Sus scrofa: one gene and its partners. The protein of the gene in region 1 interacts with the protein of each later gene in a pairwise test. Links are inferred from orthologs where the notes say so. Each region holds a gene or a part of one and is shown in the gene's direction. Other genes may lie near its edges.

Region 1 (4,643 bases):
CTGCATAGACGCAGTCTCCCCAGTCTTGCTTTTCTGCCTCCAGGAAATAATATCCTGATTGTGGCCCATGCATCTTCCCTTGAGGCGTGTACCTGCCAACTTCAGGGCCTGTCACCTCAGAACTCCAAGGACTTTGTACAAATGGTCCGAAAGGTAATTCCTACTTGCACTTCAGGGGCCTGCAATGCCTTACGGTTTTAGAACAGCTCCGTGCTGGCTGGAAGCAAAGTTCTTTGGAGCATGTGTTGACTCTGAGCTGGGAAGACACATTTATTGGTTCACTTAACCAAGATGTATTGAGTGGGACTCTCTTTAAGGCACTTCATCAGGCCTTGGGTAAGATGGGGAAAAAAAGAAAAGAAAAGATGTGTTTGAGCTAGTTTTAGCTTCTGGGAGCTCAAATGGAGGAAAGAGAGTCATAAGCAGACTGTCTGGATTTCCCTGAGAGACCATGGATTGGATAAAGAGGGGTGCATGGGCCAGCACGCAGCATCTGAGAGCTTAGCTGGAGGAGAGGTCCTGGCTGGTAGGCCACAGGAAGCCGTGATTCAAAACGATCAGGCTGAAAGGCAAACCCAAGGCAGTGAGACAGAAAGCCCGCCGCTGACCGACACATCTGGATCGCCCCCGCTCCAGCCTGTGGGAGAGGCTTTCCTGTCAGCCATCCTCCCACACACTTCCCTCCAGGCTGAATTCCATGCTTCCTTTATCTGTCCCCAAAGAACCTGGTTCAGATTCAATTGCAATTCCTTTCTCATTTGTGAAAAACTAATTTCTGTGTCTGCCCTTCCCATTAGCCTGTAAGCTGCTTGAGGGCAGAAATTTTTTTTTTTTTTTTTTGGTCTTATTTATAAAGGCAGCTCCGGACACCCACTCAAATGTGTTTTGAAATGCCATGCCTACTGAAGTTAGGAAGGGCACAGCTTCAGCTTTGAATGTTAGGTACACGTGCCCCAATAAATAAATAAATAAAGCAAGAGGAAACAATTTTTTAAAATTGAATAATCTTTCCCATTGTCCAAGTATGATTTCTGAAATGTTTGAGCTGGGTTTTTAGCATGACTTTCAATTCGGAATTAATTCCTAGTACCCTAGCTTTATAGATGATGTCTTTTTTTTTCCTCCCATGCTATTAAGAAATAATCTATAAACAATTACTTAATTGCACTAGGAGAGCTCACCATTTAATGAATCCTTCTGAAGAATTCTCTTGGATTGCAAATACTCTTCCTTATAAATTATCAGTTTTATCCATTTCATTTTCTTTACTGATTTTTTTGGAAGGGATGCTTGCCTACAAAGCCCCTATACATTCCTTTGATTATCCCTTTGTCTAAATAAAAGTTAAAGCATTAACCCTCTGTTTCCGATTTTCCCTTTCTTTCCTATCTTACTTCAGATCCCATACTTGGGGTTTTGTTCCTGTGAAGAATTAGGAGAAACTGGAATTTGGCAGCTGACAGACCCACCTATTCTTCCTCTTACCCATGGACCAACTGGGGGCTTCAACTGGAGAGAGACCTTGCTGCAAGAATAAACCGCAAGAGTGAACAAAAAGAAAAGGCTTGAGAAAGGATTTGGGAGAAGTGTCGGCTTTGGGAGAAGTGTCTTTTTGTGTGTTTAGTAACAGTGGGAAAGTCTGCACCACATCCTAAGTGGACAGCTCAGAATAATTTAGCATATTTCCTTTCAAGCTTTACCGTTCTTAGGATGAGTCTGTGTCGAGGAAAGAAAGACTTGATTCAGGGATAAAATTCATCCTCTCTGGACTCTTGCCTAGCAAACAAGGCTTTCTAGAATTATCATCCTACATCCGGGCACCTGCGACAGCAAAGCATGTTCTCCCCCTTCCAGCTATGCTGGCTAAAGAGCCTGAGTCCTCCCCAAGGGGGCTGCCAGCCCACTCCGAGGAAGGATGCAGGAGGAGGGATGTGGGAAGAAGGATGCAAGAAGAAGGATGTGAGAGAATCCAGCAGGAGGGACACCAAGCTGCGGGTTCAGTGATGGGATTTTCTTTCGAATTGCGAGCTCCAGTTAAAGCCAAGCTGAGGAGTTCTTTTAAGGTTATTAGGAAACATGTCCCCACGCGAGTTTGTCCTTAGGTTTCCCATCAATTTCTACCCTCAGTATGACCCACACACCAGTGCTGCTGGCCCAAGACGTCTGCTCAAGGTCTCTAACCTTCGCCCTGGTCCCACCACATCACATTTTCTCTAGAGCAGCTGACTGCAGCTTTTTGCTATGGTCCTACCCCCTTGCTTCTATCTGTGAAATGGGGAGGCAAAGCATTTTTTTGCTCTCCAAGGCACTTTTGGATACTCAGGAGGAAGATAAATGTGTGACGTGTTCAATCATAGGAGCGAAGAACTTGCACACTATCAAGTGACTTGGGGTTCTCCGTGTTGTAGCCTAACGAGCCACAGCACTTCGAAATCTCCGTGACTTGCTTGTCTTTGCCCCGCGCGTCTAGACCATGTGAACTGGTCAAGGATGTTGACATTTTCAAAAGATGTGTGCTACATACATCATTTGAGTCAGCAAGAAGCTCATTCTTGTGCAATATGGACATCTTTACAAACCACACCAAGGGTCAGGTCATTGTACGCTCACAGTATACGTCAATCATAACAGAACGTCCACAAATGCATCAGTCACGGCCAGGGATATAAAACGGAGTCAGGGAACTAACTTAAATGATGACAGTCACAACTGCACTGCTCCTTGTGCTGTTGTTTTTATTCATTTGTTTTTCTATGATAATTTAAAATACACAGGTAGGGCTGCTTAAGCAAAGTGGAGAGACCCACATCCTGGGATATCTCATCACACTTGCTTCCTGAATTTAGAGGGAGTTTATTTAAAAGAAAAATACATGACAATCAAGCCAAAACATCAGTTATCAATGTCTAGTTCATGTGGGCCTAGCTGACTGCTGTGGGCAGCAGACGACGGTCTGGTATGATAGCGTTCACTGTAGACTGTATGTGCAAAATGAGGGCCCAGCATTTAAAGGGAACATTCATATGAAACAAGTCAATATATATTGTAGCATTAAATAACTTTAAAACCCAAGTGCATAAAACGCATGGTATATAAAAATAGATCTAGGCTATTAGAAACTAGAATTTGATGATCCTTGAAAAGAAGAGGAAGTGAGAGGATGCTGGCTTTGTATGTTAATCAGCAAGAGGGTTACTGCTGCTGCTGTTGTTGCGAAGTCACTTAGAGAAGCATATCATGAATTCTGCATTTTAAGAAATCTTGATTTCTTCCAGCATTGCACAAACACCGATCCAGCTTCTGGGTCTAGAAATAACTCTGTGCTGACATTACTGATTAATGTAAAAGTTTTCATCTTACAATAGAGGGGGGGGAGGGGGGCGGGGAATGCTCACATTAAAGATTTTAAAAGGAAAGTCACCTCACGGCCAATGTAATGTTGCTGCCAGGCATTCTGTCATCTGTAATGAGGTGAATGCACTGTAATCAGACCTATAATATTTATTAGAGTCTCTACAAATTTTCCTGGACTTTCAGTGCTCAGCATAATGCTTGAACATCTCATATTCACTTGAAAACTGGAGCCGCGTGTGCTGGGCAGGGTCTATATGTGTGTAAAACACATTTCAGAATAGGTCATCTTCTCCCTCCCTCTCACTGGTCTTAGGTCTGACGACCTGGCCGCTTGGTTTAGCTGGGCTATGGTCCTAAGTCCAATATAGACAGAGCCTTAAGCTATCATTTACAGGAGCAAAGGAAGGCAGAGATCAGAAGTAATTTTCTAAGTAATTTAGGTGGACAACCCTAAGACAGTTTATTTCTCTGCTTTAATGATCCAGATTGATCAGAATAGCCTGAATGATTTGAATTCTCATTAAATCTCTTTTCACATTTACCTATTTGACAAACCAAACGTGGACTCCAACTGAGAAATTCTTTGGAAATCATGTTGAATCTATGTGTAATAAAAGGAGCAGACAGCTGTATTACATGATTTTCTATCCATCTAAAAATTCGAAGTGGCTATTACAACTCGTGAAGTTTAGGCTGGTTCTTTTTGATCTGAGGCTGATGTGTGTTCACAGGTGTTTTGAGGGGCTAGAAGGAAGGTGGGAGAGGAGGAGGAAGCAAGGAAGAAAATGTCAAGGAAGAACCAAATGGTTTCTGGTAGAGAGGATTTTTTTTTTTTAAGTGTAGACAGTTATCTGAAATAAACGGAGATGAAATTAACTAAAGGATTTAATCTGGGATTAAAAATCTGAAACCGTCTGCTGCTTATACAAGTGCACCACATCAACCCACTAATGGCCCAGCATTATTCACAGATAGACTTTGGTTTCAGTGATTTCAAAATGCCGCATCTATTCCTCTCCAGACTAGAATAATTGGCCCATCTTAATGCACAGGCTGGGGGATTCATTTTCCCAGGCTCTCTTCTCCATCACTGCCTTGGTAGCTAGGAGCTTATTGCTTCACCCCAGCAAGGAGTTCAGAATACAGTGTTTTCCATTACATTTAGATTCATAGAATCTGAATGGCTGATTAAATGGCCATCTGATGGCCTGAAAGAGGGGAGGGGGTATTTTTCACCCTGTATTGAAAGGCTTAGAGGAGTTTCTAGTTTTTATTTTAATTATACTTTA
Region 2 (5,634 bases), on another chromosome or scaffold:
GGTGTAGGCCGGTGGCCACAGCTCCGATTCGACCCCCAGCCTGGGAACCTCCATATGCCGCGGGAGTGGCCCAAGAAATAGCAAAAAGCCAAAAAAAAAAAAATAAATAAATAAATAAATAAATAAAATAAAAAAATAAAAACAGGAATGCAGAGTTCCCACCGTGGCGCAGTGGTTAACAAAACCGACTAGGAACCATGAGGTTGCGGGTTCGATCTCTGGCTTTGCTCAGTGGGTTAACGATCCCGCGTTGCCGTGAGCTGTGGTGTAGGTTGCAGACACAGCTCACATACTGTGTTGCTGTGGCTCTGGCGTAGGCTGGTGGCTACAGCTCCGATTGGACCCCTAGCCTGGGAACCTCCATATGCTGAGGGAGCGGCCCAAGAAATGGCAAAAAGACAAAAACAAAACAACAACAACAAAAAAGCCAGGAATGCTCAAACAAGTCCTGGCTATCACACAGGGCTGTTGTGAAGATTCATGAAGACCCCCCAGAGCATTGCAGGGGTGCTCTGCTCTGAAAACTCTGAGCATAATATGCTACTGGAAACAAAAGCAAGGGATTGCTGAGCTGAAATCAGTGGTTTAAATCATTCATCAGCAAATATTTATCAGGCTTCTACGGTTTACTGAGGGCTTTTCTTTCCAAAGTTTTCCCTTTTCAGATGCTTTTCTAATGTTCTTACTGAAGTATAGAATGTAAATTCCATAAGAAAACAATGTTTGCCTGTCTTGTCCAGCTCCATCTCTACTTGCACAGAGCAACACCAGCAGATATTTTAAAACGAAGAATGGAAGGAAAAACTTATTTGCTGCCTGAAAGGATGCCATCTTTGCCCTTAAGAACAAGGTTTTTGTTTTGTTTTGTTTTGTTTTGTTTTGCCTCAGCTAGGAATGCAGAAATTCCCACGCCAGGGGTCAAACCCTTGCCATAGCTATAACCAGAGCCACAGCAGCGACAACGCCAGGTCCTTAGACCACTGAGCCACAAGAGAACTCCAAGAACAATTAATTTAGGAGATACACAAAGGAAAATATACATGAGGTATCACACAGTTGCCTGTAACAGGTACCAAAGGAAGGGCAGGGCCACAGGCACTCCTTGGGGACCACAAGAATGCCAGTTTCAGTGTTAGCTGTAGTGTGTGTGGGGGGGGGGGGGGTTCACAGCACAGCATACCCTTCCTTTTAGTGAGAAAGCGACACTGAAATAAACACAGAAGCCTGTCGGTAGAATGGACAGGCTGAGAAAATTCGAGTGATGGTCTAAGTCAGAAAAGGACAGATGTGAATACGACCAGCAAAATAAACCTCTATGGAGTTGAGGCTTAAGTTGGGTTTAATGGGAGGGGAACACGGGATAAATCAAGGGTTTGAGGAGCGTATTTCAGGCAGTTAGAGAAATTCGTAGCACTGTGCCCCCTGTGGAAAGACTCTCAAAGTAAGGTGACCTTGAGTTGCAGTGCGTAGGTGGGAAGGGTTTCGGGGAGCAGTGTGAAGGTACTGCCTCAGAGCGACCAAGAGAGAAAAGATACTGTTTTGAGACAATACCTGTACTTTGTTTTCTTCCAATCAAGGGACAAGGGTGGGGGTTGGAGGGCTCGACCCAGTGGGCGGGGCCAAAGTGAGTGGGCGGATCACGCGGGTCCTTCCTCCAGCTACTGGAGACCTGGCGAAGGGGCGGGGTTTCCGGTGGCAGCGGCATTCGGGCGTCGGGTGACGCTAGGCGGACGAATCGTCACGTGACACGGAAGTGACTACGAACAGGAAGAGGACGAAAAAAATAACCGTCCGCGACGCCGAGCTGAACCGGACCCGCAGCCACCATGAACAGCAAAGGCAAGGACAGGGGGTAGCTGAGGCCATCGGGGAGAATAGTGCTGGCCCGGAGAGAGCGGGCCCGGGACCAAGGGTCATCAAAAGCCAGGCCTGGGGCTAGTTGCGCCGCGCTCCTGGGCCAGCTGTAGTGCCGGGGGTTGCGCCAGACGCCTTCGTCATCCCCGAACTACGGCTGCTCGCCCCCTCCTGGCCTTTTCCCCCTTAAACTCTGTGGCGCAGTTTGGAGCTCCGGGCTCGAGTGGGGGGCCGTTGGAGCGGGGGGGGGGGCGAGAAGGCTTGTCGTGATGGGCATCTGCAGGCGCAAATGGGGAGCTAGAGCTGATATTTGGGTAGGCCAATGGAGAGCCTGCGGAGGCGGGGCGCCGCGCTCCGGAACCACAGGCAGGCCCCAGGGCTTAACTAGTGAATTGCCGGCCCTGGTGGGCGGGCCGGGCAGGCCGAAGGGTCTCTTTCCCCTTAACCTCGCTGGCCGCCTGAACGTCTCCCAGTTCCTGTGTTAGGACATTCGCCTCCACCTCCTCTCCCATCCCAAGGCTCACTTTCACCACTCTTTTTATTTGGAAGTCGACCTTGAGTAGGAACCTGTGAGGTGGAGGACTACAAACACCGTTACTCACGAGCTCTAGGCCAGTTTCAGCCAGGCCCTGGGGGACCACCAGAGCAGAGAGGACGCACACACTTAAAACATCGACAGGAATGGGTGCGCAGACATGCCCATTCTGGAAGGATCTTGGGCCTAGATAGACTTTCCCCTTGTACCAGTGTGCTACTGTAAAGAGACCTTCCAGCCCAGTTAGAATCCAGCATCTCAGTTATAAGGGTACAAAGAGTGTTTATTTTCTTGGTTCCAGGAATCAGGCCCTCTAGGACAGTGTTTTTGCAAACCTCTTGCTGGCTCAGTGAGGTTAGCTACCCAGTATGCTCTGCCCCATTTTGGTTGCTCTGTGTGGTAGGCAACATTCTTTTTTTTGTTTTTTGTTTTTTTTCCTGTCTTCCAGGTCAATATCCAACGCAGCCAACCTACCCGGTGCAGCCTCCCGGGAATCCTGTGTACCCTCAGACCTTGCATCTTCCTCAGGCTCCACCCTATACTGATGCTCCACCTGCCTATTCAGAGGTGCTTCCAGTTTACTAGACTTGAACTGAGTACTCTTGGATCACATTTTCAGTCTTTAGCTAAGTCTGGCTCCACACATGTATTTACTCTCCACAAACAGGAGAGAGAGCTCACGTGGATAATCTAAAACCTCTTTATAGTTCAGCAATTTCAGTTGGGGTTGAGAAGGCATTATCTGATTATTTTGCTCTTTGGCACAGGCTGAAGTTGAGAAGATGAGTTAGCGTTCTTTGAGCCCAACATTATTTCTAGCAGGAAGTGATCCAGGAGGATATTGAGTGGCTGGTGGAAAGGCAACTTGTGTAACTCAGAGTGTAATCTGCACAATAATTAAGAATTGCCTCATGAAAGAGATCTGAAATAAGAATGTCATAAAGTAACGTGTTGCCCTCTCTTCTGCCTCTTCTAGCTCTATCGTCCGAGCTTTGTGCACCCAGGGGCTGCCACAGTCCCCACCATGTCAGCTGCATTTCCTGGCGCCTCACTGTACCTTCCCATGGCCCAGTCTGTGGCTGTTGGACCTTTAGGTTCCACAATCCCCATGGCTTATTATCCAGTTGGTCCCATCTATCCACCTGGTTCAACAGTGCTGGTGGAAGGAGGGTATGATACAGGTGCCAGATTTGGAGCTGGCGCTACTGCTGGCAACATTCCTGTGAGTATGCCTTTATCACAAAAACCTCAGCCCTTGTGTATATTAACTTTCTGAAATGACTACATAGTCATCCTTTCATCATCCCTGGGCAGTAGTTGCTGGTATTGGTGCAACCACTGACGTCCAGTAATCAGGCAGAATTCACTTGAGGGGGCAGGAGAACTGTGGGAAGTCAGTAGCCTCTGGCATATTCACTGAGGTCTGAGTTAACCAGATTCCTTTGTTTCTGTCTTAGGAGTCCTGCCTGCTGCTTTTCCAGTTCACTTTGGTACTGGTCTAGTAACACTCCTCATTCATTCCATAAGCATTTACTTAATATTTGCACAGCATTTTATCAGGAGCCATGATGATTAAAAAGTAGAATGCGTATCCCTGTTAAGTTCCCTTTAGGAAGACTTTACTAGGGCTTTTACTATGTCTCCCACTTAGTTTCCCTATGTATGGTAACTAGAGCCCAAATGGTCCTTGCTAGGGCCATTCACGCAGTAACCATATGCTAACAATGAGGTGAGAATGCTGTCATCAGGTAGAGCCTTCAGATTATCCATGTGAAAACTGTTGAGGAACTCTGTGGTGTAGGGCCATGGACCTGGTAACCCCTCCCCATTTTTTGGAATGGGAGTCAGAGGGATTTTCCACCCTGCAAATGCTTATGGGTCTGGACTGTGCATACCCAGGAGGGATCCCTAGGCTTTATCTTGGATCTGGGACCCTTTAAATGAGGGGTAGGATCTGTTTTCTGTTTATGTCTTGGGGCTCACAGAGAATATAGACCTGCTTCACCCACACTGCTGGCTCAAGTAGCACGTTGCCATCTTCCTGACCGGTCCTCTTTCATCTTTGTCCACTTCTCTCGTATCAGCTGCCCGGTGCCCAATCAACCTTGTCTTTTCCTTTCAGCCTCCTCCCCCTGGATGCCCTCCCAATGCTGCTCAGCTGGCAGTCATGCAGGGAGCGAATGTCCTCGTAACTCAGCGGAAGGGAAACTTCTTCATGGGTGGCTCAGATGGCGGCTACACCATCTGGTGAAGAACCAAGGCCACCTCTGTGCCGGGAAAGACGTCACATACCTTCAGCACTTCTCACAATGTAACTGCTTTAGTCATATTAACCTGAAGTTGCAGTTTAGACACATGTTGTTGGGGTGTCTTTCTGGTGCCCAAACTTTCAGGCACTTTTCAAACTTAATAAGGAACCATGTAATGGTAGCAGTACCTCCCTAAAGCATTTTGAGGTAGGGGAGGTATCCATTCATCAAATGAATGTGGGTGAAGCAGCCCTAAGGATCTTCCTGTAATTCCTCTGGAGTAATACTGTACCATACTGGTCTTTGCTTTTAGTAATAAAACATCAAATTAGGTTTGGAGGGAACTTTGATCTTCCTAAGAATTAAAGTTGCCAAATTATTCTGATTGGTCTTTAATCTCCTTTAAGTCTTTGATTTAGGTTACTTGTTACAAATGAACTGCATTAGCTGTCTGCCTTTTCCTTTTCGTCCTTTGCCCCATGTTCCACCCTCAGCCCCGGTCTTCGATACCTTCCCGCCAATCTCCATTGAATCAATGGTGCAGGACAGAAAGCCAGTCAGACTAATTTCCTTCTCTCCTTGCACTTGTCCTCACTCGTCATCTTTTAACCAGTCTTTCACAAGGATCCTCTGAAACCCCCTCTGTGCCCCAAGCACAGCCCCCATTACTTCTGCTTTTGCGTCTCTTCAGGCAGAAGTGGAGGGTGCCTTTTGGACCCTCCTTGTAGGCTGTCTCTTCATACACGAACCAAACCCAAATTTGCTTTGGTGCCAGAAAAACTGAGCTTTGTTCAACAAAGGATATCAACACAAACTATCATAAATAGCAGCTTGCTTATCATTTCAGGGGCAGGGAGGAGGGTGCATTTAAAAGCCTGATGACTCTAGAGCCAAATTAAGGGAAGTTTTCAGATCAAAAATTGGTTACCATTTGTCAGTGTCTGATGCAGCCACTCATGGCTCTAAGAATTCCCGAGCTGGGTGAACGGGGTTGTA
Region 3 (5,870 bases), on another chromosome or scaffold:
ATTCTTTTGAGTGGGTAACATATGCACATGGTACAAAATAAGTCTTTTCTATTCCTACTCTACCCTGCCTCAGAGCAGCCTCCTCCGAGGTCACCATAGTTACCACTTTCTTGTGCAGGCTTCAGAAATAATTTATGAACAAATAAACAAACACATATAAGCTCTTTTTTTTTTTTCTCATTCAAATGGCAACATTCCATTCATCCTCCTCTGTACCTTACTTTTTTCAGTTCCCATGATGCTGTTAAGATGATTCTGTGCAAATACATAAACGGCTTCTTCCTTCATTGTGGCTGCATGCTATTTCATTGTGTGAAACTGTGGCATAACTTGATTGAACCAGTCACGTGGACCTTTATTCATTTATTTGGTCTTTTTTTTTTAGGGCCACACCTGCAGGATATGGAAGTTCCCAGGCTAGGGGTCAAATGGGAGCTGTAGCTGCTGGCCTATGCCACAGCTACAGCAACTCGGGATCCGAGCTGCCTCTGCAACCTACCCCACAGCTCACAGCAACGCCAGATCCTCAACCCACTGGGCGAGGCCAGGGATTGAACCTGGGTCCTGATGGACAGTAGGCAGATTCGTTTCTGCTGAGCCACGACAGGAACTTCCCCAGTCGTGGACCTTTAGGTTGTTTCTAGTCTGTTGCCATTGCAAACATGCTGTGGTTAATGCCCTTGAACTTCTGTCATTTTTGCTCATGGGCCAAATCCTAGAAGTAGAATTTCTGGGTCAAAGAGTCTGACAGTAGCCATTGTCAGACTGGCCTCCACAGAGGTGGTGCCCATTTCCCCGCAGCTTCGCTAACATTGTGTTTTCACTTTTGCTTTGAATTTTAGCATTTGATAGGCGACAAGTGGTATCTCAGTGTAGTTTGATTTCACATTTCTCTTAAAAAAAAAAAACTGGGGTAAAAATCCACATAGGAATATTTATATCTTAGCCATTTTCAAGCACACAGTTCAGCAATGTTAAGTATATTCACACGGCTATGCAACCTAAAGTCATACTACTTAGTGGTGCCAATCTAGTGCCAGGACTAGCTTGAGGCAGCCTCTGCTCCCTGGTAGTGGGGGAGAAATGTAAACAGGTATGACAAACCAGTGCTACCAGAGCTGAACCTGAGATAGCACTGAGAGCTGGGGCCTGGGCCAGGGGTGGAGGTGCGGATGGTCCAGTAAGTGTCTTAGGAAGAGGTGGTCCAGAATGACCCCTGAAGAAAGGAAAGATCTTCCCAGCTGGGGACCTTGGGTGAGCAAAGGTCTGGAGATCTGAGAGATCCAGGTGTATTCTAGAAACTGCAAGCAATGTTCTGAGAGCCAGCAAGGTGAATAAGGGGGAAGGGCCTTGAAGGGCTGGCAAGTCTGGGGCAAAGGAGAGCAAAGATCAAAGGCTGGGGTTAGACTGCAGGTGGCAGGGTTCAGGTGAGAGGAGGCAGACGGAGGAGGAAAGACTGCTGGGCTCCAGGGCATTTAAACTAAGCCCGACGCCCCGCCCCACCTGAGGGACAGACTGGAAATCGGAGGGCGAGGGAAGGTGGATTCCCGAAGGAGAAGCCATCCCTGGGAAGGGGACATGGGCCCTCGGGGGCTGGGTTGGGTCACAAGGAGAGAAGCCTGAACAGCCGAAGGAAGGAGGCGTGGGGGAAGCCACAGCCTCTGACCTCCGACTGCGACGTTTCCCTGACCGGGTCCGGGACCCCAAGATCCCAAACCAGGGACCGCGGGCCTACCAGACCCTCTTCTTCAGCCCGCCCCTGGGTCACTGCGGATCTCTAAGCCCCGCCCCTCAGGCCCCGCCCCTACGGATATTGGGAGGGGAGGGCCATATGCCCTCCCCCCCTTCTCCGAGGGCTGTCTGCGGGGGAGGGGCGTGAGAACGCGCGAGGGGGGAAGGGGGGAAAGGATGAACCGGCGTCGCCATGGCAACTAGGCCGGTGGTCCGCCCTGGAGACCCGGGAGGAAAGCAAGGAGAAGGCGCGGGAGGGAGGCTAAGGCGCTCGGCGCGGGGGCGGAACGGGGGCCCGGGTCTCCCGGGAGGAGTTGGGGAACACCGGGCAGTTCTCGCTGTGGGTTCCTGGTGGCGCAGGGAGCCCGTGTGTTTGCGAAGTTCTCCAGGGTGAGTGTGCCAGCGCGTGTCTGGGGTTGTGCACGAGTGTGAGCGTGCGCACGTGGGCACAGGCGTGCGCACAGGAGTGCCCGTGCAAGATGCGAGTGCCAGCCTGCCCGTGTGTGTGCACTCGTGCGCGCTCCTAAGTGTGCCCGGGCGGGCGCCGGCGGGAGAGTAGTCCCGCCCCCTCCCCAGCCTCCCGCCGCCCCTCCCCGCCCCGCGCCGCCTGCGCCGGCTGCATCCTCGCCTCCACCACGCTCCCCCCCTCCCCCCCGCACTTTCTCCAGCTCTCCCTCCCTCTCGGCTCAGACTGCCGGACTCGGCGCTCTTCTCGCCGGCCGCCCTGGGAATCGCCGGCCGCCGCCGCCCAGCCGGCACCCGCTGTCCCCCCAGTACTTGGGCACCTGTTGGAGGCGCAGAGACAGGTGCAGGGGCCTGGGCTGCCAGGGGCGAGGGTGAGGGTGAGTGTGTGTTAGCCTGTGTGTGCCTCCGGGGGTGTTTGGCTCTCGGGAGGCTGCAATTTCTGGCTCCTCTGGAGAGCCAGTCTCGGGAGGTGGCATCTGAGGCAGGGGTCCTCACCTTGAGCTGCGGGGGTAGGGGACCAGGGAGGCCAGCAGATCCTGGGGCTGAATGAAGGGACAGTGGGAAGTGAAAACCTAAGGGGTGGGTGATACCCAGACCTGACAAGCGCCTGGTGCTGAAGGATAGCCAGAGCCTCAGAGAGACAGAGGAGAGGACCAATGGGGCTGCTTTAGGGGTAGATAGGGCCCAGGGCAGCCAGAAGCCCAGAATGAGGGTAGGAGCTGGGAAGATGACAAAGGGACAATCCAGAGGTAAGTGGGCAAGGCTGAGATGGAGCCAGGACCTATCTGGGGGGGCTGGCAGCGCAGCCCCTGTGGAGGACAGCTTGGGGTCTGGAGGGCCCAGGCCTTCTGCCTGGCCGTCAGCTGGCACAGGCTGCAGTCTCCCTCAATACCTAGGAAGGGAGGCCACTGGGGACCCACAGATCCAGGAGGGTGTTGCCTGGCCCTCAGCCAGCAGATGGTAGGTTTGAAGTCAGCCCCGGGCTCACGCTCTCTGGAACCTCCCTCCCCCACCCAGGGGTGCTGCATGAGGGGCCGCAGGGGCGACCGCATGACCATCAACATCCAGGAGCACATGGCCATCAACGTGTGCCCCGGGCCCATCCGGCCCATCCGCCAGATCTCTGACTACTTCCCCCGCCGGGGACTGGGACCCGAAGGGGGCGGCAGGGGCTTCGGAGAGGCCCCGGCCCGACTGGCGCCCCTGGCCTTGGCGCCCCCCGCAGCCCTCCTTGGGGCCACCACGCCTGAGGATGGAGCTGAGGTGGACAGCTATGACTCGGACGATACCAGTGAGTCTGGGGACCTGAAAGGCTCAGGGTGCTAGTGGGGGCTCCAGGCTCACAGCAGGGGCACGGGGCCCCCGCTGGGCGTGGGGAGGCGGCGGGCACGGCCACCACAGCTGCAGTCAGAATGGTGATTACAGCTTCAGCCAGGCTCAATATTCAATATTTCTGCTGAGACACTCAACCACCCACACAGCCCCAGTTGCAGCCCAGCCAGGGACCCAGACGCGCGCACACACTCCGCAGGCTGATAGACGCAGACGGGCGCACACCTTCACAGCTGGCCCACGGAGCGGGCCTGCCCCCCGGCTCTCTGTCACACACCTGTCTTGACTCACTGACTCAGGCTACCTCTTCCCTCTCCTCCAGCCGCCCTGGGCATGCTGGAGTTTGACCTTCTCTATGACCAGGCTTCCTGCACGCTGCACTGTAGTATCCTCAGGGCCAAGGTGGGTGCTTCTTGCCTCCCAAGCCCTGGTCCTGTTTGCCTCCCCCCTTCCCTTCCCTAGGCCTGACTCCTGCTCCTTCCCCCATTTCCCCCCCCCCCCCCCCCCGGGGTCCACTCTGCAGAGACAGGGAGGGAGGGCAGGCTGATAAGACTGGGAGCTCACAGCCCTCTTTCCTCCACGCTATCCCAGGGCCTCAAGCCCATGGATTTCAACGGCCTGGCCGACCCCTACGTAAAGCTGCACCTGCTGCCTGGAGCCTGCAAGGTAATGGCCTCCCCCTCCCCTGTCCCCCGGACTCACTCAGCTTGCGGGTCTGTCCCCAATTTTCTCCTGCCTCCAGCCTCTGTGCATCACGACGTACTGAGAACCCTTCGTCCCCACACCTTAGGCCAATAAGTTAAAGACAAAGACTCAGAGGAACACGCTGAATCCTGTGTGGAACGAGGACCTGACATACAGCGGGATCACGGACGAGGACATCACCCACAAGGTGCTCAGGTGAGGGGTCCCTCCTCCCTGTTACCAGGGAGGACAGCGCCTCCTTGGGGACAGCTCTTTGGAACCTTCTTGGATTGGTTGATCCACCTTCCACTAAGCCCTCTCAGACGCTCAAGAACCATCAGTGGCTCCCTTCCCCTTTGGGAGCAGGCCACCCTGTGTCCCTGCCCCTCAGATATCCCCTACTGCTCCTCCAACAGAGGGCCGCCCTCTTCCCGCTGGTGGGGTTCATAACTCCTGAGCATTGCCTGCTGTGTCACTTCTGGCCTCCCCTCTCTGCGGGCCTAAATCCCTCTCATCCTTTGAGGCTCTGCCTCCTCCTGCAATCGTTTCCTGGTCTAGAGACCCTTTCTAGAGCCCCTGACTTAAGTCACACCTCTGCAGCGGAGGTCTGCCCATCCTGTTGCTTCTGTCCCCCTAACATGGCTAAGGAGTGACGTCTCAAGGGACAGGCGTGGCAATGAGGCCTTAGGGAGGTTAAGCGATTTGCTCCAGGTCACGGGGTTGCTATAAAAGTGGCGGAGCTGGAAACGGAACACTCCTACCTGACAGAGCTGCTGAGGGTGACCTCAGAAGGACGTGCAGGGGGCTGCACATGGAAACGGATGGAACTAAAAGCAATAATCCCTTCATGGCTGGGCTCCTGAGACTCTCCCAGGCTGGCTCCCTGCTCCACACAGAAAAGAAACGGGGGCTCTAGGGAAGGTGTGAGCTCCTGGTCTGACTCCTCAGAGCATCTCCAGGGCCTTCTAGCGCCTCCATGTCGGACCCGGGACCCACTCCACCAGTGCTATGCACATTCCGTGGCATCCTGTCGCCAGGCCCTGAGTGGAGGCAGTGTGTGTGTGTGTGTGGGGGGGGGGGGTCCTGAAGGAGCTAAAGCCGTCCTGAGGGCCCAGGGACAGGCAGGGCATCCGGAAAAGGGGGTGCAGAGGCACAGGGCGTATCAAAGCATCCTTCTCGAGGCCCAGGCCTGGCGCTAACCAGCCAGCCCCGAAACAGCCCATTTCACAAGCGAGGAACAGAGCATTCAGGGCAGAGCCGGGACCAGCCCGGGCGTTCGGAGTTCACGTGGAGGACCTTTCTCCCACACTGGAGTGGGGCTCAGGGACCCCAGGGGCCCTGACCCTGCAGCACCCCTCCAGGATCTCCGTCTGTGACGAGGACAAGCTGAGCCACAACGAGTTCATCGGGGAGATCCGCGTGCCCCTCCGCCGCCTCAAGCCTTCACAGAAGAAGCATTTTAACATCTGCCTGGAGCGCCAGGTCCCGGTCTGTGTGGGGCGGCGGGGTCCCATGGGAAGGGGGCCCTGGGGAGACCGGGTTTCCAGAACTTTCTCTTTGCCCCCCCCTCAGCTGGCTTCACCCTCTTCCATGTCTGCGGCGCTGAGGGGCATCTCCTGTTACCTGAAGGAGGTGAGCGACCCGCAGGGACTGCTGGG
Region 4 (5,805 bases), about 42 Mb from region 1:
TAAAAAGTTTACCTGTCAAGACTTAGAAGCAGGGATTTGTAGAGAGAATTGTTAAATTAGATGAAAGGTTGGACTGTAAGTAGCAATTTATGTCCTTCGAAGCACAATTATATCCATTGTTTTATTGGATTCTCCCAATAACCGTATGAGGTATCAGGCCAGGAATCATCCTTCCATTTCAGAGATGTAAACACAAGGTTCAGAAAAGTTAAGGGGCTTATTAAAGGTCACCCAGTAAGCTCATGGCAAGGTCTGCTTTAGGATCTGATTCCCAGACTCTTAGTCTGGTAAGCTTCCTCATACATAGTCCCCCAGCTCAGATAGGCTGGAGAGACCCATCCCTTTTGATTTTGACTGCCCAGCCCCTACTGTCTGCTAGCTGGAGAAGCGGCGAAGAGAAGGAGTGAAAAAGGTTTACAAAGTGGAACACTCAGAGAGGGGAAGGGACGGCTACAACATTCCACAGGCACTTTTCTGACCATTCTCAGAAAAGGGAGCAGAGGTCTAGGATTTTTGCAGGGCCGAGGGGTTGGGACCTGAAATTTTAAGCCTGGGAGTATAGGATGGAAAATAAGGTAGCTGGAAAAAGATGATGACTGTTTTGGGGAAAATGAGTCATAAGACATAAGGGTGTAATTAGATTTAGGTGGGGTGAAGCTGCTGAAGCGATTGGCCGCAGCAGGACCTTGGACTAAATTAACCTTTGATTTAAGCAACCTGGGCTTTTCTGGTAGGCCTGTGGATGGGAACTCAAATGTTCTGGTGTTTCTTGCAGAATAGCAAGGAAAAATTACATAAAATCTAAAATATTGTAGTCGAATGCAGGATTTATGTTAAATCAGAAATCATCTGATACAACATTCCATGTTCTAGAAAAGCTGCACACAGAAGGAAACAATATTTAAGTGTAAGATTATTTATTCAGTCTACAGACAATGCTTTAAGTATTGCTTTGTAGACTCTTAACAATAACTTCGTTCCTCCCGCCTCATTCCTCCTCCCCACAGTGATCCCTAAAGAGTAGAAACAATTGCTATAAGAACTCAGATATAAGGAAAATCAATGTGTCTAAAATGTTCTGGGGAGGGTAGGACTTTGGCTTGAGTTTCAAGAATGAGTAGGAGAAAAGGAGGAAATAGGTGTGGAAAGACCAGAAGGAAAAATTTGAGAAGAGACAATAAAAATTGAGAAAGCCCTCCCTACTAACTTAATGTTCTTTTATGATTCTACATGACCACCATTCATTGTTTTAATAGTGGAAATGCTGAGCTCACAGAAAAACCAGGCAGTCTTGGATCACCACAGAGGGCAACAGAAAGCCATGGAAAGCTTTTAGGTAGCAAAGACAAATTGTTGTTGAATTTGGAAATTATATTTTGGAAAATAGTCTTAAAAGCTTAAAAACTTATGTGCTCTTTTTAAACAATGCAGGCAATATTAAAATAAAAGTTATTTGAAATCTGACACTTTTCTCCAAGATAATGACAGATTATTTTGGGAAACCTCTTTCCTGAAATCTTATATTGTCCCAAGCTTCACATAAATTGGATCATTCTAAACATACTGTTCTTAGCATTTCCCCCGCTCTAGAATAGATTTTGATGTCAAGAAACAGATTCATATCAGTATTTTGAATGGCTGCTTAGTAGTATATTGTTTGTATATGCAATTTACTTTAACCAGTTCCTATGGATGGACTCTATAATCAACAACCTCATATAACAACCTTGTGCATTCATCTTTTCCAAATTGTTGATTTTCTTTTTAAGGTAAATTCTTAAAAGTAATGAGGCTGCGTCAAGAGGTACGCTTTTTTTTTTCCTTTGGGTTCAAGGTGCCAAATCGTCCGGATTTGCAGAGAGACCAGGAGGAGCCGCTGCGTTTGTCTAGTGAGAGACAGTGGCGACGGAGATGGCGAAAAGAGTACAGACTCCAAGGTGAACTAGTCTATCTAGGCCTGTTCTCGATGGGTTGGCATATTTCCTTCCCTTTTTTCTCTCTTTCACTTCTTAGGCTTAACATGGAGGAAGAACTGAGAACTGCATCTCCCAGCGTTTCACAAGAACCACGCTCCCTGGGAACTGTAGTACAGAGTCTGAGAAGGGCCCGGAAGCAGGGCGCGAGGCTGTGAGGGCATGCTGGGAAATGTAGTTCGGCGGGAAGTGGTGGTAGTGGGGGGGTCTATATGGGAGTGTGCGCGTGCCCGCGAAGAGACGCCACAAACATGGTCCTTTGGGGGATGGGGCAGCGGGGCGACCTAATTTTCCCTCGTATGTGGTCTTTGAGTCTACAAAAGCCCCCCGCGGAGAGCTGGCTTTATTCCATTGTCTGTGACCGGGAAGAGAGCGGTCCCTCCGCAACGAGTGCGGGGGCGGGAGGCGCAGGCTGAGCGCGGGTCGGAGCGGGGCATGCCGGGAGTTGTGGTCCAGGCGCGCTGAGGCTGTGGGATGTGTCGCGGCGCCGCGCCGGCTCCTCCTTCCCAGCCCTTCTCAGCGGTCCCCCGCCCCTTCCCTCAGCCTCCTCCTCCCTCGCCCGCAGCCCAGCGTCCCCTCCCCCCACCCGTCGGGCTCCTCGGCGGCTACTGCAGAGGATTCAGAGCCGAGTCGCTGAGGAGGAGGAGGAGGCTCCCGGTCCCTGCGCGCCATCCGCCTCCTTACTGGACACGGGCGAGGGAGCGAGAGCGTCGCCTCCGTAGCCTTCAGAGAAGACAAGGGCATCGTCGTCTCAGCCGCCGCCGCCGCCGTTTTCGCCTGCAGCGGCTCACCGGTGAGGCGATCCCCCCCCTCCCAACGCCGGTCCGCTCTCCCTGAGCCTGGGCCGGTGGTACTGGGGAGAATGAGAGTCGGGGCACGGAGTGCCCTCGCGGGCTGGGGGAAGGGGGCTGAGGTTGCGATGGAACGGCGGGCTGGCCGGGGAGACTTGTCCTGGCGCGGGCTGGGGGTGGGGTGAGGGTGGGACACTAGCAGGTTGGGGGGGAGCGGCTAGGGAAGGGGACTTTTAATGGGGAGTGACCAGACCTGGGACAGGAGCGTGGGGTTGTAGGATTGGGGTGGAATTTGGGTGGTTTGGGGCGAAATGGATGATGAGACTGGAGGGGGATGGCTTCTAATGGGGGAGGGGACTGCGTGAGGGTGGTGAATTTGGGGTTGGCCTGGAGCAATTGACAGCTTGGGATCCGGGCCGGGTTGCGGGGTCGGGGGTTTATTTGAATAGAGAGTTGGATTACAGGGTTAGTAGGACCCTCGGGGGATGTTAATTAAGGAGGGCGGAATTTGAGGTGGACCTCGGGCTGGCTGATGAAGGTGGTAGGAGCTGGGGGTGAGGGGCTTGGCCTGGGTTGAGACCTGAGCTTGAAGTGGGCGCTTGCCATCTGGGGATGGTGGAATTTGTTGCGACTTATGGAATAGCGTGGCTTAGGAGAGCAGAGGTAGGTAGAATTGGGGGGTTTCCTGGGAAGTGCTTATGGAGGTTGGAAATAGTGGGGGCGGGACTTTCAATGAGGGAGTGTGAAGGTGAGCTGGCAGGAGGGGGGAAATAAGTTAGGCCGAAAAATGGGCAGAGAAGCATTGCCATTTGGTGGGGAGAGCACAGTGGGATGGGATTTAGAGTGATTTTAGAATTGCTGGAAGGGGCATGGTGGCCCCCTGGGTCGGGGTCAGGGCAGAGGGCGCACAAGATGCTTCTGGGCTGGACACACTGAAGGAACAGTGGCAGGTGGTGAGCAAGGTTGGGGATGATATATTGAAGAAAATATCCCTTGGCCAAGGTGGCGAGGGAGTTTTGGAGAAAATGTCTGATATGAACTGATAGGACTCAAGAGGTAGTTGCTGATAGTGAGGTAGCCGTTGGGGCTAATTAAGGAGTGGAAAAACCTGGGGTTGCTGGTATGGATGGGGCAGGGAGGATGGAGAGGGGCAGTGAGCAGTGCTGGGAAGGGGTGGATTGAATGATTCTGGAGAGGAAGGATTGGGATGGCTTCCAAGAGACACTGGAGGGTTGGGGGTTGGACTTAAATGGACAGCTTTGGAGGCCATGGTTGGGGGACCTTGCAGGGGACAGAGAAGGGACATTAAAGACTGTTTTCTAGAGGACTTGTTAAGCTGTTTTTGTTTCATTTGTATTAGGATCATATTTAAAAGTAACACAAAGGGTAAAGTTGAGAGGGGTTTCAGTTAAGGTAGAATAGAGGAGAGGGAAGTGTCTTCTATTATTCATATATTATGAAAAGCTAAGGGGAAAAAAACCCACTTCCACACTAAAGGGGAAGAAGATGAAACTGGAATGTGATAGCTATCTATTTGATGTCTCTGCTGTCTCCTTTCTGCCTTCCCCCAGGTGCATTTAAAAATCAGTCCTGGAATTTGGCATTAAATAGATTTGATGAGCTTGAGGTAGTTAAGGGAGCATTCCCTGCTTGAGAACTGATGAATGAGACTGAAAAATAGGAGGCTGAATTTATTTCCTAGTCAGGCAACGTGCATGTATTCAGAAAGAGCTCAGGCCTTTTTTTTTCTTCTCCTCTTAAAATTGATTGCTTGAAGACTCCATTTATTGGTGTCCTGGTTTGCAAGGCAATTAGGCCCATCATTGTATTGCAGGCTAATAATCCTGAGATGAATCTTGGCACTACCGCTTTATGTAAACAGAGAGAAGACAGGAAATATGGAAATGTCATAAATATTCATTGGTGAGATGGTTTGGTATTGATGGAGTTTTTCATTTGAGTCTCTTTTGACGTTACTTGATACGATTTAAAATAATTGGACAGTACTTCTATAGATTGAATTTTTTTTGCAGGAATTCAGGAGGTTAGAATTCTGTCAGATGTGGATAAAAACCTATAGAATCATTTTTATTTAATTTTTTAAGGCACTGTAAGCATGTTGGATAACTACAAAAAACGATATCTCCATCTAGTCATCAGAAATTTTATTTAAAGCTTAATGATATGCTTATTCTCAGGGCAGAATTGTGATGCTGGAAGGTAGAGAAGGATGTTAATGGAGGAAGTATCTTTAGGGAAACAGTTTTCTGGACTTAATTGCATTAACTATGATGAGTTAAACATGAAGTGGCTGTTGATGAGAGCTCAGACTGAGGAAAAAAAAAATGGGAGGATAACCAACAGGATCAAAATTATTCTTTTTGTGTTTTAAGTTTCAGAGTTTAGCTCATAAACAATTTTCCTTGGCTTTCACAGCACATAAAAATACCTAATAAGAATTTTTTTTTTGGTGGTTCCAAAATGGGCAGAATGATTGAAGGTTGGACTTAACCTTGGTATTGAAAGTGTTTTGTTATGAGGAGCTTTCTGTATTAACAATAAACATCAGGTTTAAGCAGTTACCCAAATTTGATGAGAGTGTAATCTAACTAATGCAGGCATTTCTCCTCATAACTTGACTCTGGGGTCCCGGCATTGCTTTAGTGGATCTGCAGGCTTGATCAAGAGGTGTGATATTTATATTAAAGCCCTAGCTTTTAGGAGTTCAAAATGAAAAGGAATCACCTGGGAGAAATGTTTTTATACTTTTTTTTTCTTTTCTCACAATTGTGTTCATTCGTGTAGTAGAAATGTGTGTAGAGTGTTTTGGTATCTTAACCTCATTTGATTCTCCACATGTTCTGCTGAGAAGGGGAGGGCAGTGGAGGTATTCACAGACAGGTACCTTGGTGTAATGAATAATAGCTCATGAATTTAGGGGTCAGGAGTCCTGGGTTCAGATCCCCTTCCCACCACTGATAGCAAGTGATTTTAGTAAAGTCATTAAAAAGCCTTCATATTTAGTGGTAATGGTTGCACAA

What was found.
Region 2: the proteins of UBASH3B (region 1) and DAZAP2 interact in binary tests that used the Homo sapiens proteins (3 or more experiments, as listed by UniProt). The two-hybrid records come from large-scale screens. The link is inferred for Sus scrofa from reciprocal best matches to the Homo sapiens genes UBASH3B and DAZAP2.
Region 3: the proteins of UBASH3B (region 1) and DOC2A interact in binary tests that used the Homo sapiens proteins (3 or more experiments, as listed by UniProt). The link is inferred for Sus scrofa from reciprocal best matches to the Homo sapiens genes UBASH3B and DOC2A.
Region 4: the proteins of UBASH3B (region 1) and FAM168A interact in binary tests that used the Homo sapiens proteins (3 or more experiments, as listed by UniProt). The two-hybrid records come from large-scale screens. The link is inferred for Sus scrofa from reciprocal best matches to the Homo sapiens genes UBASH3B and FAM168A.

Annotation. Positions count from the first base shown.
Region 1 is NC_010451.4:49,766,209-49,770,851, forward strand, and holds part of UBASH3B (ubiquitin-associated and SH3 domain-containing protein B), read left to right. Parts: intron 1-43; coding exon 44-153; intron 154-1,399; coding exon 1,400-1,537; 3' UTR 1,538-4,643. UniProt on the Homo sapiens protein: Interferes with CBL-mediated down-regulation and degradation of receptor-type tyrosine kinases. Promotes accumulation of activated target receptors, such as T-cell receptors and EGFR, on the cell surface.
Region 2 is NW_018085018.1:159,690-165,323, reverse strand, and holds DAZAP2 (DAZ-associated protein 2), read left to right. Parts: upstream 1-1,761; 5' UTR 1,762-1,826; coding exon 1,827-1,839; intron 1,840-2,837; coding exon 2,838-2,956; intron 2,957-3,365; coding exon 3,366-3,611; intron 3,612-4,511; coding exon 4,512-4,640; coding exon of another isoform or gene 4,641-4,834; 3' UTR 4,835-4,982; downstream 4,983-5,634. UniProt on the Homo sapiens protein: In unstressed cells, promotes SIAH1-mediated polyubiquitination and degradation of the serine/threonine-protein kinase HIPK2, probably by acting as a loading factor that potentiates complex formation between HIPK2 and ubiquitin ligase SIAH1.
Region 3 is NC_010445.4:18,212,570-18,218,439, reverse strand, and holds the start of DOC2A (double C2-like domain-containing protein alpha), read left to right. Parts: upstream 1-2,442; 5' UTR 2,443-2,964; coding exon 2,965-3,487; intron 3,488-3,850; coding exon 3,851-3,930; intron 3,931-4,119; coding exon 4,120-4,194; intron 4,195-4,318; coding exon 4,319-4,428; intron 4,429-5,573; coding exon 5,574-5,844; intron 5,845-5,870. UniProt on the Homo sapiens protein: Calcium sensor which most probably regulates fusion of vesicles with membranes. Binds calcium and phospholipids. May be involved in calcium dependent neurotransmitter release through the interaction with UNC13A.
Region 4 is NC_010451.4:8,068,493-8,074,297, reverse strand, and holds the start of FAM168A (protein FAM168A), read left to right. Parts: upstream 1-2,313; 5' UTR 2,314-2,766; intron 2,767-5,805.